3 linked regions of the Saccharomyces cerevisiae S288C genome follow. Changing the gene in region 3 together with the main gene of any one other region gives a genetic interaction. Each region holds a gene or a part of one and is shown on either strand. Other genes may lie near its edges. The genes, in order: KTR1, EUC1 and YNL234W.

The links.
Region 1: mutations in YNL234W (region 3) and KTR1 together harm fitness more than expected from each alone (negative genetic interaction), as found in Saccharomyces cerevisiae (one large-scale study listed by BioGRID).
Region 2: mutations in YNL234W (region 3) and EUC1 together harm fitness more than expected from each alone (negative genetic interaction), as found in Saccharomyces cerevisiae (one large-scale study listed by BioGRID).

The regions. Positions count from the first base shown.
Region 1 is NC_001147.6:509,951-515,306, reverse strand, and holds KTR1 (alpha-1,2-mannosyltransferase KTR1), read right to left. Parts: upstream 3,483-5,356; coding exon 2,301-3,482; downstream 1-2,300. Other genes in the region: Ras family GTPase RAS1, read right to left, coding at 1-63; CRC1 (carnitine:acyl carnitine antiporter), read left to right, coding at 1,029-2,012; FG-nucleoporin NUP1, read left to right, coding at 4,129-5,356. UniProt on the Saccharomyces cerevisiae protein: Mannosyltransferase that transfers a mannose residue from GDP-mannose to a range of acceptors in vitro, forming an alpha-(1->2)-D-mannosyl-D-mannose linkage.
Region 2 is NC_001145.3:490,979-495,435, forward strand, and holds EUC1 (Euc1p), read right to left. Parts: upstream 2,815-4,457; coding exon 1,426-2,814; downstream 1-1,425. Other genes in the region: HFD1 (hexadecenal dehydrogenase), read right to left, coding at 1-1,014; MED11 (Med11p), read right to left, coding at 3,122-3,517; FOL3 (dihydrofolate synthase), read left to right, coding at 4,021-4,457. UniProt on the Saccharomyces cerevisiae protein: Transcription factor-like protein that binds to specific DNA motifs called ub-HS-motif associated with several locations where proteins other than histone H2B are ubiquitinated (ub-hotspots).
Region 3 is NC_001146.8:208,634-214,204, forward strand, and holds YNL234W (uncharacterized protein), read left to right. Parts: upstream 1-1,599; coding exon 1,600-2,880; downstream 2,881-5,571. Other genes in the region: SIN4 (Sin4p), read left to right, coding at 1-1,221; BNI4 (Bni4p), read left to right, coding at 3,289-5,571.

The sequences.
Region 1 (5,356 bases), on a different chromosome or scaffold from region 3:
AACGCCACCTCCACCGACAACTACTATCTTATACTCTCTTATAGTTGATTTATTTCCCTGCATGTCGTTCTAAAAAGGGAAAATTTTGTTTACCTGTTCAATCGTGAAATAGCCAAACCGAAGTCAATTGTGGCAGCAGTTAATTAAGCATTGCAAGAAAGAACAAGACAGATGATAATAGAGACACCGTACAAGAAAGAATCCAAATTAAGAGAACCATACAAAGACATAAAATATAAACCTTTCAATGTAAAACAAAAGGAGGAAAAAACCTGAAAAGCCGTGAAAAATTCATAATCTTGCGATGAGTTGAAAAAGTTTGTTGTCAAATGTCCATAGACTTACATGTAGTAAATATTTTTGGTTTCTTTTTTTTTCTTCGTGCTTTTTTTTTTTCCTACGGGTTTACATTGTGCCAATGTGAATTTCCCCGCCACTCCCTACCGAACGGGTAGCAGCGTAGAACATAGCGATCAAGGGTGTGCTAAGTGAAGAAGCAATTCAGTGCGGGTAATACATATTCCTAGCCTCGTTTGCCGTTACATTGCATTGATGGTACAATAAAGGGCATGCTTTATATCGAGATGTTTCAGTGTATATGAGGGGAAACAGAAAAGAGTCATTCCTGCCATTTTTTGGTCACTGCTTTTTCTGCTATGAGTAATGGTGAAGTTCCTTGTGGCTACACGCTTAATGTCATCGGGTTACTGCTCCTAATATCCGCATATAAGCTTTATGCAGGGATCAGTTGGGCGGCTATTTATCTACACCCAGTCATCCGGCGTGACTGGATCTCCACTTGCCGCAATAAGTCGGTGGACAAATGGAGATTTAAGAGTAAAGATGCATGATGGTATAATTCCTTTAGTCGAAATAGATATATTTCAAGCGCATATATAGGCAGACGCTTGTACTGTAGAAATAGCCGATATTCAATTGCGCTCTATGTGTGTTTTTATTCCAGGTTTTCCTTGGATTCTACGTATTGTACGACTTTCTTATCCTCCACAAACGTCATCGTGTCAGTAATGTCTTCAGACACTTCATTATCAGAATCTTCATTATTGAAAGAAGAGAGTGGGAGCTTGACCAAGTCTCGTCCACCTATAAAATCAAACCCTGTACGCGAAAATATCAAATCATTTGTGGCCGGTGGAGTTGGCGGGGTATGTGCGGTGTTTACGGGTCATCCCTTCGATTTGATTAAAGTGAGATGTCAAAATGGACAAGCGAATTCCACGGTACATGCCATTACAAATATTATAAAAGAAGCAAAAACTCAAGTAAAGGGCACATTATTTACCAATTCCGTAAAGGGGTTCTATAAAGGTGTTATCCCGCCCTTATTAGGTGTTACTCCCATATTCGCTGTTTCTTTCTGGGGTTACGATGTGGGTAAGAAACTGGTTACTTTTAATAACAAGCAAGGAGGCAGTAACGAGTTAACTATGGGACAAATGGCTGCAGCAGGATTTATCAGCGCTATTCCTACCACTTTAGTGACTGCGCCAACGGAAAGAGTAAAGGTTGTCCTGCAAACATCTTCTAAGGGCTCTTTCATTCAGGCGGCTAAAACCATTGTTAAAGAAGGTGGCATAGCTTCTTTATTTAAAGGTTCATTAGCCACTTTAGCAAGAGATGGGCCTGGCTCAGCTCTATATTTTGCATCTTATGAAATTTCAAAAAATTACTTGAATAGTAGGCAACCTCGTCAAGATGCGGGCAAAGATGAACCGGTCAATATCTTGAACGTGTGTCTTGCTGGTGGTATTGCTGGTATGTCGATGTGGCTAGCTGTTTTCCCCATAGACACTATAAAGACAAAATTGCAGGCTTCCTCCACGAGGCAGAATATGCTTTCCGCCACAAAGGAAATTTATCTACAAAGAGGTGGTATCAAGGGATTTTTCCCTGGTTTAGGTCCTGCTTTACTAAGATCTTTCCCAGCCAATGCGGCCACATTTTTAGGTGTGGAGATGACTCATTCACTGTTCAAGAAGTATGGCATATGATTAAATTTTTGTTAGGTGGACCTGCCTCCCATTTTTTTCTGGCATTCCTTTTGGGAACTTTTTGTTATTTTTTGGTTCTGCAATTTCGTTCAGTGTATGGTAGAAAATATCAGTTGGGTTATCCCGGTTTCCTTGGCGTTGTTGTCGAAGCGTTCATATTTGTAACGCAATGGAGTAAATATAAATGTGATATGTAAAAAAAAGAGTTATAATTTATTCTGTTTCTTTAAATAGTATAAATAAAAAAAGTGGAAAATACAAAGACAACGTGGGCTGATTACAGTATAATCAACCGATATGGTTTTGCCAACCAGCAGGCTTTGGCAACTTGTTTATATTGTAGAATTTAGTAGTACATGAATAACTGTGCCATGTGAAATCTTTGCTTGGATCACAGTCACATTTGTTAGCCAGTCTGATACTTGTGTCTATTGGACAGGAGTGAAATGGAACATGGTAATAACCAATATCACCGAAGTGATGGATTTCAGAGCGGTCCAAGAACAGCGCAGCACCAATAGAATGAACTGGAGCATCACCCCATCTTTCATAAAAGAATCCACCTTCACGATCTAAATAATCAAAATATGCGGAGTATGCTGGAGATCTCCACAAATCCAAAGCAGCAATTTCAAAATTAGACCAAAAATGGCACAAATTGTATGAAAGTCCCTGATCGTCGCTAACAAAGTCTAACATATTATTTTCATGGATAAGCTCAGGATGGGCTTCCATGAATTTACGAGTAGTCTCCCATAAAGTGGGGATAGTAGCTTCATACTCCTTAATGGAAATGGCAAAGGCATACTTTTTCTTATTGTCTTTCATGAATTTGAAGACATCGTAGTCGATATCACAGTGCAACTTGATATCAGGTTCCACACGCCAATACCAATCGTAGTCATCCATCAAAGGATGTCTGTAAAAGAAGCCTGATTCAAAACGACACATGTGTCTGTAAGAGATAGAATCACCGTAGATGATTCTCTTCTCACCCATCTCCTTCCTGACTTGAGCGGCCTTTTCTTCATCAATCCACTCAGGGAAGGACCAATGTTCCTTTGGGATGACACCGTATTTTGTTGTACCACTAACTAAAGCTGACGTAACGTTTTTGAATTCATCAGTGAACTCTTCATCATTCAAAAACACCCAATCATAGTTGAACTTGGAGTTAAATCTATCTTCCACGGATTTAATAGACTCAGCCAACGAATATAGATCTCTATTACGCACTAGAGTGACAAAAGTGGCCTTTTCCCGAGGACCGGTATACTTTGGTAGTTCCACTTTCGAGTATTTATAGCCCGAGCCGGAAGATAGCACGGTACTGTACTTTGGGCTTGGGGCAGAGCCTCTCGCATACTGAGCTCCATGAAAGAACACATACACAGTAAACACGGCGACCAGAAGAAGTCCTAATTTTTTGTAAACAGGCTGCTTGCTAGCTGGGATCATAATCTTCGCCATTTTGGTTATTGACTCTATCCCTTAAAAACTCTTCTGATGGAGTACTTTACTTCGATTGCTTAACGAAATCTTTGTGAGGAAAAAGATATCTCTTAAAATTAGAAAGTACAATAGTCTAGCGTATTATACTAAGAATCTGCAAAAAAGAAGCAAGAAGGCACCACCTATTATAGACCTTTGACACGAAGTCTCTCTGGAGTGCTTTGGCCTACGTGTGCGGTACTCGTTTACATGGGACAACCACGGTTTTTTTTTTGGTGTTACTGGAGGTATACAGTGCGTATATCCACTTGTACGACAAGAGATTTACACTACACCGCGTAAAGAAAACGCCGACACCAAATATAAGTCACGTGTATGCAAAGCCTATTTTATGCCCTAATTTTCAAGCCCCGGTTTTTACGCCCTAGTTTTTATATTTAGGGTTTGTCGTTGCACGTGATCAATGGTTCGTATTATGTGACATTGAAATGCTTTTTCATTTTAATTTTTTTCTTTGACGAAATTTCGTAATGTCAAGAAACACTTAAAGAAAATAAGTGATGAGGAACTCAATAAGGACACTACGTAGCGGTGCAAATACGATAGGATATTAGCCTCGAAAGGGTTATAGGGACAGAGAGTGAGCGACAATTTTTAGTCATTCATGTCTTCAAACACTTCTTCTGTGATGTCTTCTCCACGTGTCGAAAAGAGATCGTTTTCTTCCACTTTAAAATCATTCTTCACAAACCCCAATAAAAAACGGCCATCGAGCAAGAAAGTTTTCAGTTCAAACCTCTCATACGCGAATCATTTGGAGGAATCAGATGTTGAAGACACACTGCATGTTAATAAGAGAAAGAGGGTGTCCGGTACATCACAGCATAGCGACAGCTTAACTCAGAACAACAATAATGCGCCAATTATAATATATGGAACCGAAAACACTGAGAGACCGCCGCTTTTGCCAATTTTGCCCATTCAAAGACTGAGGTTATTAAGGGAGAAGCAGAGGGTGAGAAATATGCGTGAGCTTGGATTAATTCAATCAACTGAATTTCCATCTATTACATCGTCGGTTATATTGGGCTCTCAAAGTAAAAGCGATGAGGGAGGATCGTACCTATGCACATCATCTACTCCTTCCCCTATTAAAAACGGTTCTTGCACTAGGCAGTTGGCCGGAAAAAGCGGTGAAGACACCAATGTTGGACTACCCATTCTCAAATCATTGAAAAATAGATCCAATAGAAAAAGGTTTCATAGTCAGTCAAAGGGGACCGTGTGGTCAGCAAATTTTGAATATGATTTGTCAGAATATGACGCTATACAAAAAAAGGATAACAAGGATAAGGAAGGTAACGCTGGCGGTGATCAGAAGACAAGCGAGAATAGAAATAATATTAAGAGTAGTATTTCAAATGGCAATCTGGCTACAGGCCCTAACCTGACAAGCGAAATTGAAGACCTACGTGCAGACATCAACTCTAATAGGTTATCGAATCCTCAAAAAAATCTACTTTTAAAAGGACCAGCTTCCACAGTTGCAAAAACTGCCCCTATTCAGGAGAGCTTTGTTCCCAATTCAGAGCGCTCTGGTACGCCTACGTTAAAGAAAAATATTGAGCCCAAAAAGGACAAAGAAAGTATTGTTTTGCCCACCGTAGGTTTTGACTTTATCAAGGACAATGAGACTCCATCTAAGAAAACTTCTCCTAAGGCAACTTCTTCTGCAGGTGCAGTCTTTAAATCGAGTGTAGAAATGGGAAAAACCGATAAGTCAACGAAAACTGCCGAGGCGCCTACCTTATCATTCAATTTTAGCCAAAAGGCTAATAAAACTAAGGCTGTCGACAATACTGTCCCTTCCACAACTTTATTCAATTTTGGTG
Region 2 (4,457 bases), on a different chromosome or scaffold from region 3:
TTTTGAAGGCACAATCTTGGAGCCGTTAGTTGAGTTTATACTTGCAACGGCCTTTTTGTAAGCAGGCTCATGAATCATACGAGTGAAATCTGTTTGTTCATCAAAGCTTGGATAAAATTCATTTAGTACTGATTCACACTCTTTAATGACTTTTGGATAGATAGATTTATGTACTAACAAATAATCTGGTGAAACACAAATCTGGCCAGAATTTCCGAAAGCACCAAAAAAAATCCTTTTCAAAGCAATTTTTATGTTACTTGCTTTGAAATTTTCTGTAATAAAGGTAGGTGATTTACCACCAAGTTCAAGTACACAAGGTGTTAGACTTTTTGCTGCTTTCTCAGCAACTATTGATCCGACACGGGGAGAACCTGTGTAGAATATTAGGTCAAATTTTCCACAATCTAGTAGTCTTGTAGTTTCATCTATAGCTCCCTGAACTACTTGAATCAATCCATCAGGGAAACCAGCTGTGGTTAACAAATTTTCCATAACTACAGCAGTGTGTGGTGTTAGTTCACTTGGCTTCAGAACAATGGTGTTACCTGCAGCAAGAGCTGCTGCCAATGGGGCAAATGCTAAAAGTAGGGGAAAATTGAAAGGAGCAATAATCAAGACACTGCCCCTTGATATTTTCTCCACGATTGTTTTACCAAACATAAATGGAGGAGAAGAATCAGATACTCTCCGAGGTTTGATCAATTTTGGTAAAATCTCAATTAGGTGAAGTATATCGTTCATAAGTTTGGTCGTTTCATTCAGAACCGATTCAATTTTGTTCCGATGAAAGTCCTTGTACATAGCATCGATCAGTTCTTCCTCATGATCTTTGACGGCATAATAGAGTTTTTTCAACTGCAACTGCCTGAATTCTAGATCTTTTTTCCTTGGGTTATTTTCGTGGGACAATTTCAATTGTTTCTCAAAGAAGAAATTTCTTGAGATTTCAACTATTTCATCTATTTTAGACACTGGGGTATAATTCAATATTTTTGAGCCGTCGTTTGACATGTTGGTGATAAATTACTATGGCTATGGTTTTAGAATATTCCTTTTAGATAATCAATATGCCTGAAGTTTTGTTTTTTATATATGGAGTATCCGTTTATCCCTAAAATCCGAAGAATCTCCTCCTAAAACGACAAAAAAAAGGGTAAGCAATCCACCATCTAATTAAATCACTAATATTAGATTGAATTTTCGAACCTATCTAAAAGTGGGATCTTGATGTAAAATTGACTGATAGATAAAAGGCTTGGAGTCGATAGTTGATATATCAGTACACCGGTAATTGTCTATTATATACCCTGTTGGCATGAAATCCATATAGGACGGTATATATTTATATATAAAATGCATGTAAAAATCTTTCATCATGAACTACTCGGAATTTTTGGCTGGAAATTCGTTGTTCCATTTCCTCTAAGTGTCTTGATCATGTTCTGGTGTGCCTGTACTGGAATTTGGTATACTATGTGGCTGCTGTAATGATAATCTAGCTTCTCTCTCTTCTAACAAGAAAATTCTTCTTGGCTTCCCTCTTCTCTTTAGAGTAAGTGAATAGTCTTCGAGTTTGTCCATTTTTTTGGAGAAGTATTCGTATAACTGGGACATTGATAATCGGCAATGATGTCCTTTGAAGGTATTGTTTCCCAATCTTATATTTTCGACAACCTTGATGGCTTGGTTTCTACTTATTTTATTCTCAGGTAGCGACAAACCATATTTGCTTGGATCATCTTTTATATCTATTATTCTTTTTATGATGGTCATTCTTTTAGTGAACAAAGTCCTTTCTTTGGCAGATCGCCTCCAAGTGGACCCATATCTCCTCTCAAGGGAAAGAACTGACGGTTGGCCCGGTAAGCCTTCAAAGTATTCACGGGCCGCATCTGTAACGTTCTGGATTGCACGATTTAGTTTATATGACGTTCCAACGCACCCTCTTCTGTTTCTGATATCATTCTCGTTTCCTGTTCCATCGAGTTGGTTATTACTGTCATCAGCATTGCTAACAGAATCGGGGTTATTTAAAGGTAGGTTCCTGGTGGTAGCGTTCTCATCACTTTCATTACCATCGTATTCCCCATTTTCAAAGTCTGACAGCCCTGGCTCAGGCTTGATACGAGGATCGCCGGCTAATATGCTTGCGTGCATACTATATTCTTGCCAGTTTGTTGATCTTGACTGACTTTGATGAGCTTGCGTACTTGTTGATGGATTTCCAACACGAGCAGCTTCCTGAGGAGTAACATTTTCCCCAGTATGGTCTATAAATCTTATTCTCTCCCCAGTCATAATACCAACTACCTCTTTGAAGACTTCTTTCATTGCGGAAACATCTTCAACATACTTATTGATGTCTTTAAATCCTTTCTCCAACTTCTTTTGATTCTCTAGAAAGAAGAGTTCTTGTTCCTTTTTCATTAGGCTGATTTCTTCCTTCAGATTGGCATTTTGCTCCTCCATTCTGGTTAGTTGTGCTATAAGAAATGCATTGAAATTTGTTTCAGGGGTTTCTTTTATCCTTCCAGGGCCTATTCTGTTGGTCGGTTCTGTTGCCGATGCTGATGTGGATGTAGACACTATGGGAGGTTGAGCAGCGTCTGTCGGTCTGAAAAGAGGATTGATACGGCCTGGGATCATGTACCTATTTAATGCAGCATGTCTTGATACTCCTGTTGGACTTGTGGTTATAGTTCGCTGCCCTAGATCGTGATTCCTGCGTTCAGAATCTCTATCTGAATCATCATCGTCCAACGAGCCGTACCCACCAAAACCTTCTACATAGTTATATTCTCGAGCGGGCATGTTTAATTAATGTGTTGACTCCTGGACTAACTTCTCGATGGCACAAAATGTAGTCTTCTGGCAAAAGACGAAGTTGATTGTTAAATATTTTAAGCTAGCAATGCCCTTTGTACTCTCGTTTGTGTTTGAGTTTCAAGTACGCTTCCTTTTTTTAATTTTTTTACTAATACTAAACTCGTTCTCTTTAGACAATACTGGTTGAAGTAAAGTAAATGCTATATCATCATATGGAATATGATATCCCTGTGATGTTTATATAATTATACATTTGTACTTGATACAAAAGTGTTCTAGTCCTAATTAAGGTTTACTTGGATTTCGAAGGATCTAATATAGCCGACAATAAATCCAATTGTTCTTCCATTTTTTCTGTGTCTTGGCCTAGGGCCTTCTTGTTGACATTGATGGGCAGTAGTCGTGTTCCAACGTTCTCATCCAACAACTGTATCTCCTTGCGTAGCTGTGTGGTTGATTTATCTAGTCGTTCGTAAAACTGTTTGACATGATTTTCGAATTGGGGTTTCACTGATTCATTACCTCTTTTTAGTTCACCAAATATGAACGTGACTTGAGACGCCTCCTGCAACATGGAGCATAACTGGGTCTCTATATCATTTAATGACTTAAGACGTTCTTGTATATATGGTGGCTGCATTGTTTCGTTTTCTTGTTTCGTTTCACTCTTCGTATTGAGAACCTGCATCGTTGTTCATTTGGATTTGATAGCGTCCTTCTAATAAGCGCGCCTCTGGCTTGATGAGAAGATTTGAATCGAATTAGCAGATCTAACGACTGGGTCAAAAAACCGCTAAGATGAGGGCCTGCATACTGTCCAAGTCAGATTTTCGTACTCATTCGATTACTTTCAAAATATAAAAGCCGCCGCAATGAGCGACTTAAATCAAGTTTTTAAAATGTCCAATATACATATATATAAATAAAGTCAAGATTTTTTTATCACTGGATGTTTCAAAGCTTCTCATACGGTGGCTACGTCCTGGTTACCATATTTCTTGTGTTATATATATTATTTATAGGCCCTTCTACAACATTGGTTAGTTCGGGTGTTTTCCTCTATGAATAATTGTTATTTAAAAATTGAGCAGAAAAACTCAGGATTGTTTATAATGTAAATGTTTTGAATAGACCGATAAGGTCACCTGTTAGTAAGTTGATCTAGTGTATTTATTGTATTTTGCTATATCAATGGCCATTGAATTGGGACTTTCCCGTATTACAAAACTACTAGAGCATTTAGGCAATCCGCAAAACTCACTTAGAGTGCTGCACATTGCAGGGACAAATGGTAAAGGTTCAGTATGTACTTACCTATCTTCTGTGTTGCAACAAAAGTCCTACCAAATTGGAAAATTTACCACTCCACACTTGGTGCATGTTACTGATTCCATTACAATCAACAATAAGCCGATTCCGTTAGAGAGATACCAGAATATTAGATTACAACTAGAAGCTTTAAACAAGTCACACTCTTTAAAATGTACGGAATTCGAGCTATTAACATGTACCGCATTCAAATATTTTTATGATGTGCAGTGCCAATGGTGTGTCATAGAAGTAGGCCTTGGCGGAAGACTTGATGCGACCAATGTTATTCCAGGCGCAAATAAGGCATGTTGTGGTAT
Region 3 (5,571 bases):
TTGACCATCGCTGCGAAGACGCACATACTCAGAATTTCATTCTTGGATAGAAAAAGGGCCAAAGAATTTATTACGACTTTGTTGAAAAGCCTATACTCGTTTTTCAACATTTCTCCTGATGCGCCTAAAGAGATTATGGATAAAATAATAACAAGTAGGCCACTTCAAAAAATTATGCTATTGCAGCTGGAACTTGGCAGTTGTTTTTCGCAAGAAAATATTGAAGAAATGGCGAGAGTTATACTCTACTTGAAAAATGTTTTGTTTGCGTTCAATGGTGTGGCGAGAAATTTTCATTTTGCGATTGAACAAATAAGTAATAATTCTAACCAACAACAAAACCCGAAGTTGTTCCAGACTATATTTTCAAAACAGGATCTCATTCATTCATTGATTCCTGTTGCTAAATGGTTTGTCAAATTTATCACTTATTTGACCCAAGAAATTTTAATTTTAATAAATGATCCCACAAACAAGGAATACACACTAGTTCACGGAATATTTGGAGCCAAAATGTCCAGGACTTTGATATTGTCTATTCTTAACGAAATCAAGAAAGTCACCCAAATAGTGGCGAAATTTCCAGAAACATCATACCCAATTTTAAACGAGTCATCAACTTTTTTGAAACTAGTCTTATCTGAATCACCAGTGGATTTCGAAAAATTTGAAACGTTTTTAGTTGATGTAAACAACAAATTTATCGCGCTATGCGAACAACAGCCATCACAGGAACGTGAGTTTTCGTTGTTGGTGAAAGCTGAAATCCCCCCAGAATATGCCAAAGTGGGAGATTTCCTCCTGCAGTATGCTAATAATGCAGTGATTTCCCATGCGAATGCGGCTGCAGTATATTTTGCAGATACAAGTGGCTTGAAAATATCTAATTCAGAGTTTTTCAATCCCGAAATATTTCATTTATTGCAACCATTAGAAGAGGGATTAATTATTGATACAGATAAACTACCCATAAAAAATAGAACCTCCAAATCTTTTAGCAAATTACTGTACGACGATGTAACCTGTGACAAACTGAGTGTATCAGAAATATCCGATGGGAAACTTAAGAGATGCAGTAGGTGCGGTTCCGTCACAAGAGCAGGAAATATAATATCGAGTGATAAGACAATTGTACCCACTAGCATCCAAACCAAAAGATGGCCAACCATGTATACAAGACTGTGCATATGTTCAGGTATGCTTTTTGAGATGGACGGCTGATTATTAGTACTATAGCATAGTTTTGTATAGAATTGTTTTAAACATTTCACTTCTCGACTTAATAAAAAGAAATGAGAGTGACAGTGTCTGGAATTTCTTTCTTCTAGAATACCAAGGGTACGCATTTCTCTCCTACGGAATTTTCTGTGCAGATGTCCCGATCTACGTGGCAGATAGTGAAAACTCCGTAGGCAAAAGGGGCATCGGAAAAACCTCTTCAAAAAAAAAGGTTTTTAGGCTCGAACGAGCCGGAGCAATAATGTTCCTTTGAAAAATAGCAATCGTTATGCAACCATTTTATATGAGTCTGCCCCTCAAGGGACTCGCCACCGGACCGCTGCAGTTGTTTGCATTCATCCACATATAAGCTGGTTGTGTATGACAGGAGAAAAAATACTTCATTCGCAGTTGTTAACCAACAGCGACATGTCTAGCGGGAATGTCCACCATACGAAACCGATGATGTACAACGTAACCCTGCCTTCCTACAACAGCAGTAGTATAGGTCCAGTCGATAATTTGAAAATAAACGAGAGACCTGGCTCTCATGATCATTCCATGAGAAGTGAAATGTCATCCAAAAACTCCGGAAGCGATTTTATGCCACAATCTATTTCACGTTCCGAAGGTAGTGTCTACCAGGTCAAGATAGATCGTGGTGACTCCCCGAATACAGAAGGATTCGACTTTAAAGTTAATGCAAGAGATCTGCTGTTACTTCGAATGTCCTGGGATATCCTCCTCAGGGAGTATTTAACACCTAAAGAATTAAAAGTTTTTCAAGCACTTCTGTATTCCAATAAACATATTACTTCAACAGAAAGACCCTATTTGAATACTGCTCCTGACGGTATGATTTCCAAAACTATTGACCCTACTGCCAGGCCACGTAAAACAAAACAAAGGGACAATGATAACAAGGTTGATACTGCACTATTTTGTTCACAGTTTTATGACAATTTGATTGCAATGGATCCCTTGTTAGAAGAATATTTTCCATCATTAAAACATCAAGCAGTTTCGTTCTGTAAGGTCCTTGATTCTGCTATTGACAACCTTGAAAACGTTCATGTCCTAGATGATTATATTGTGAAATTAGGAAAACGCCATTCCAGAATTCTCGGCATCAAAACCGTTGGTTTCGAAGTAATGGGAAAAGCATTTATGACTACATTGCAGGACAGGTTTGGATCTTTTCTCACACTGGAACTCAAAAATCTATGGGGACAACTTTACTCATATTTGGCAAATTGTATGATTACTGCAGGGAAGGACCCAATGGAAAAGATTCAACCAGATTTTTCGTATAATGGTGACTCTGTGGTTTTAAATTTTTCCATTCCCAAACTTGCGATGCATGATATAAGTACAGTTAACAAGCTACAAATGGTGAAAACTAAAAACGCTACTATACCTCATAATATAACACAAGTACCGACAAATAAAATTCCTACAGAAATACTCTTAGACAATTCTTCTACTCCAATAAAAAGCGACCGTGAATCGACGCCTCCAATCTCACCAAAGGGCTCTGGAAGTACAAAACCAAGCATCGGTAGCAGTACCGTCGTGGAAAGTAATACCAAGAAAAATAATTATGATGAAAAAATCCATTTATTGCAAAAAACTGCTCAGCAGAAGAACTGCTCGATTATGTAACTACAACCGTACCATTAAGTGTATAAGTTTCCCAGGTTATATTATATATTCTTTAGATCACTGCCTGTTCTTTATTACCCGCGAGCTAATCTTTGTCTTATATAGGCGCGTCAGCGGAGACGCGTCAAGTCAACTTCTCTCTTCTATCGTCCCGAGTATGAAAAATCATTTCAGATTCGAAGAAATCAGATTGGCTTTATATCTTCTTTAGAACAAGACGTGTAATATTCTCACACTTAGAGTTGACCCCCTCAAGTTCGCTTATTAGTACAGGTTTTGACTTTGCAAATAAACAACAGGAAAAGCGACTCAAATAAATTGACAAAGAAATCTCAACAACCAGAGTGCAAAAGCCGTACGAGCAGCGTTTTTATTAATAACGATATATCACTACGTATTCAACAGAATATGTCGGATAGTATTTCAGATTCAAAGTCCTCAGAACTTTTAAATTCTACTTTTTATTCGTCGACGTCGATAAATACACTTGATCATGCTAGAACCTTTCGAAATTCTCTGATATTGAAGGAGATATCAGATCAAAGTCTAAATTCATCAATAAAGCCATGCGAATCCGTCCTTGATAGGGATGTTGAAAGCTCAGTTCTGCAGCGGTCGTTTGGAGAAAGTAATGCCCGAGACTCAGAAGTACAAACGGTAAATATGACAACTTCCCCCTCATTAAGTGCATTGGCTGATATTCTGAACGAAAGATCCAAATATGCTGACCAAAAAACTAGAAAGGCACAAAATATTGAGTCTTCCATAATAGAAGAAGAAGAAGAGGCCGAAGAGCAAAACAACTCGATCAATTATCACGAGGATATAACTGGATCCAGGCTGTCTGTACGAGAGGAAGCAAATGAAAACTTGGCGATGACCTCTCCAAACCTTATTGACATTGACGGATCCAATAGTATTCAAGTTGCCCCTTTGAGTTTACCGTCTTTCGAAGAACCTGACTTTTTGTCCACTCCTAGAGTAAAACCTGATTCTCAGGGACCTCGGAGCAAAGTTAGTACACGACGTACTATTCTCGAACGAGACAACAATTTACCAGTTAAGCGGGAGGAAAATACTATCATTAATTCAGAAACTGAAAGCACAACACATAGCGCACCATTTTTAAAAGAGGATCCGAAACCCTCGCCTCCTTCGAGTAAATTATACAACCCAAAAGTTCGTTTAAACAAAGCAGAAGCGCGAAAGTATACTGATTCTTCTGCCCAAAGGACTACTTCAGCAGGCTCGGTACTTGAAGACACTTCTATGCATAAAAAGAAAAAGAGTATATTTTCATTTCTGAAGAAGAAAGAACCGAAACCAGTTATTGGTAATAATAGTGTAACGAATGAAAAAAATAAGATGTCTTCATCGAGCACTTTCTCAATGAATATTCAAACCTCTTTAAAAACGCCTGAAAAACTAAAGAAGAAGTCTCACAGTAGCAGTAGCATTTTCAATTCCTTCCTAAAGGGAAAAATTGAAACATCAGACTCACCTCGAAAGGAACCAATGAGGCAAAAAAAAAGAACCCCAAAATCCAAGGACAAAAAGCAAGATACTGAACAAATAATTGACGCCGCATCAGTGTTATCCACTGAATCACCTCTACTACGAAAAAACCACGACGATACTCCCGTGAAAATAGATCACGTAACGAGATCAATTGATCAGAGAAAACCTACTCCTTTAAACATGGATCTCATATTGGGAGGTGATAAACAGATAAATACCCCGCTACAAGAACACGTAAGAGAAGATGATGATGCCAAAAATGATCTTCAATTACCAACCAAGGATAATTTTTTATCACTGGACTACGAAGCACCCTCACCAGCATTTTCCAAACACGATACAGGTGAGGTTCTTTTCCCAAAATTTTTGGATAATCATGAAGTCGACTCGATCGTTTCTTTAGAAAGAACAAGATCTACAAAGTCTAACAAGAGAAGTTCAATGAACTCGCAAAGAAGGTCATTGACAGATACGCTATCGATCAAAGCGCAAAGTGAGGGAATGTTCATCACTGAGGCATCTTCTGTTGTATTATCTACTCCAGACTTGACGAAGTCTCCTGCTAGCAGCATTTTAAAGAATGGAAGGTTCGAATACTCAGATAATTTCTCCAGAGAACACTCTTACGAAGGTACCACGAATGAGGACTTTTTAGATATCAAGGACGATAGTGGTCCACTAAAAAAAGATGACATATTTTTAGAGTCTATTGAACAAAAATTTGACCAGCTAGTGATGGCCTCTGATGAAGAAAAAACTGAAGTTGAAAGGGATGTACCAAAACCAAGAGAAGAACCTCTGAAGAAGGATTCTGAAAGGCAAAGCGTTTTTGCAGATGATGATAACGAGTTAATTTCTGATATAATGGAGTTTGCAAGTTTTATTAACTTCGGTGATGATGATCTCAATCTAGACCTAGACTTGGGAGATACAACGGCCTCATATGCAACAGAAACCCCTGAACCTGTTGGAAATGATGAAGTAAATCGCTCTGGTACTTTTGATACACGAAATAACAAAGAGGATAGTTACAAAGAAAGAGAAACTCAATCTTATTCCGCTGCTGGAGCTACTACATACGGAGATGAGCGTCAAGGTCAATTACATACATTTGAACAAGACGGAAGTGAAATAAATGACAACGAATTTGAGAATGAAGATTTCAACAAACAC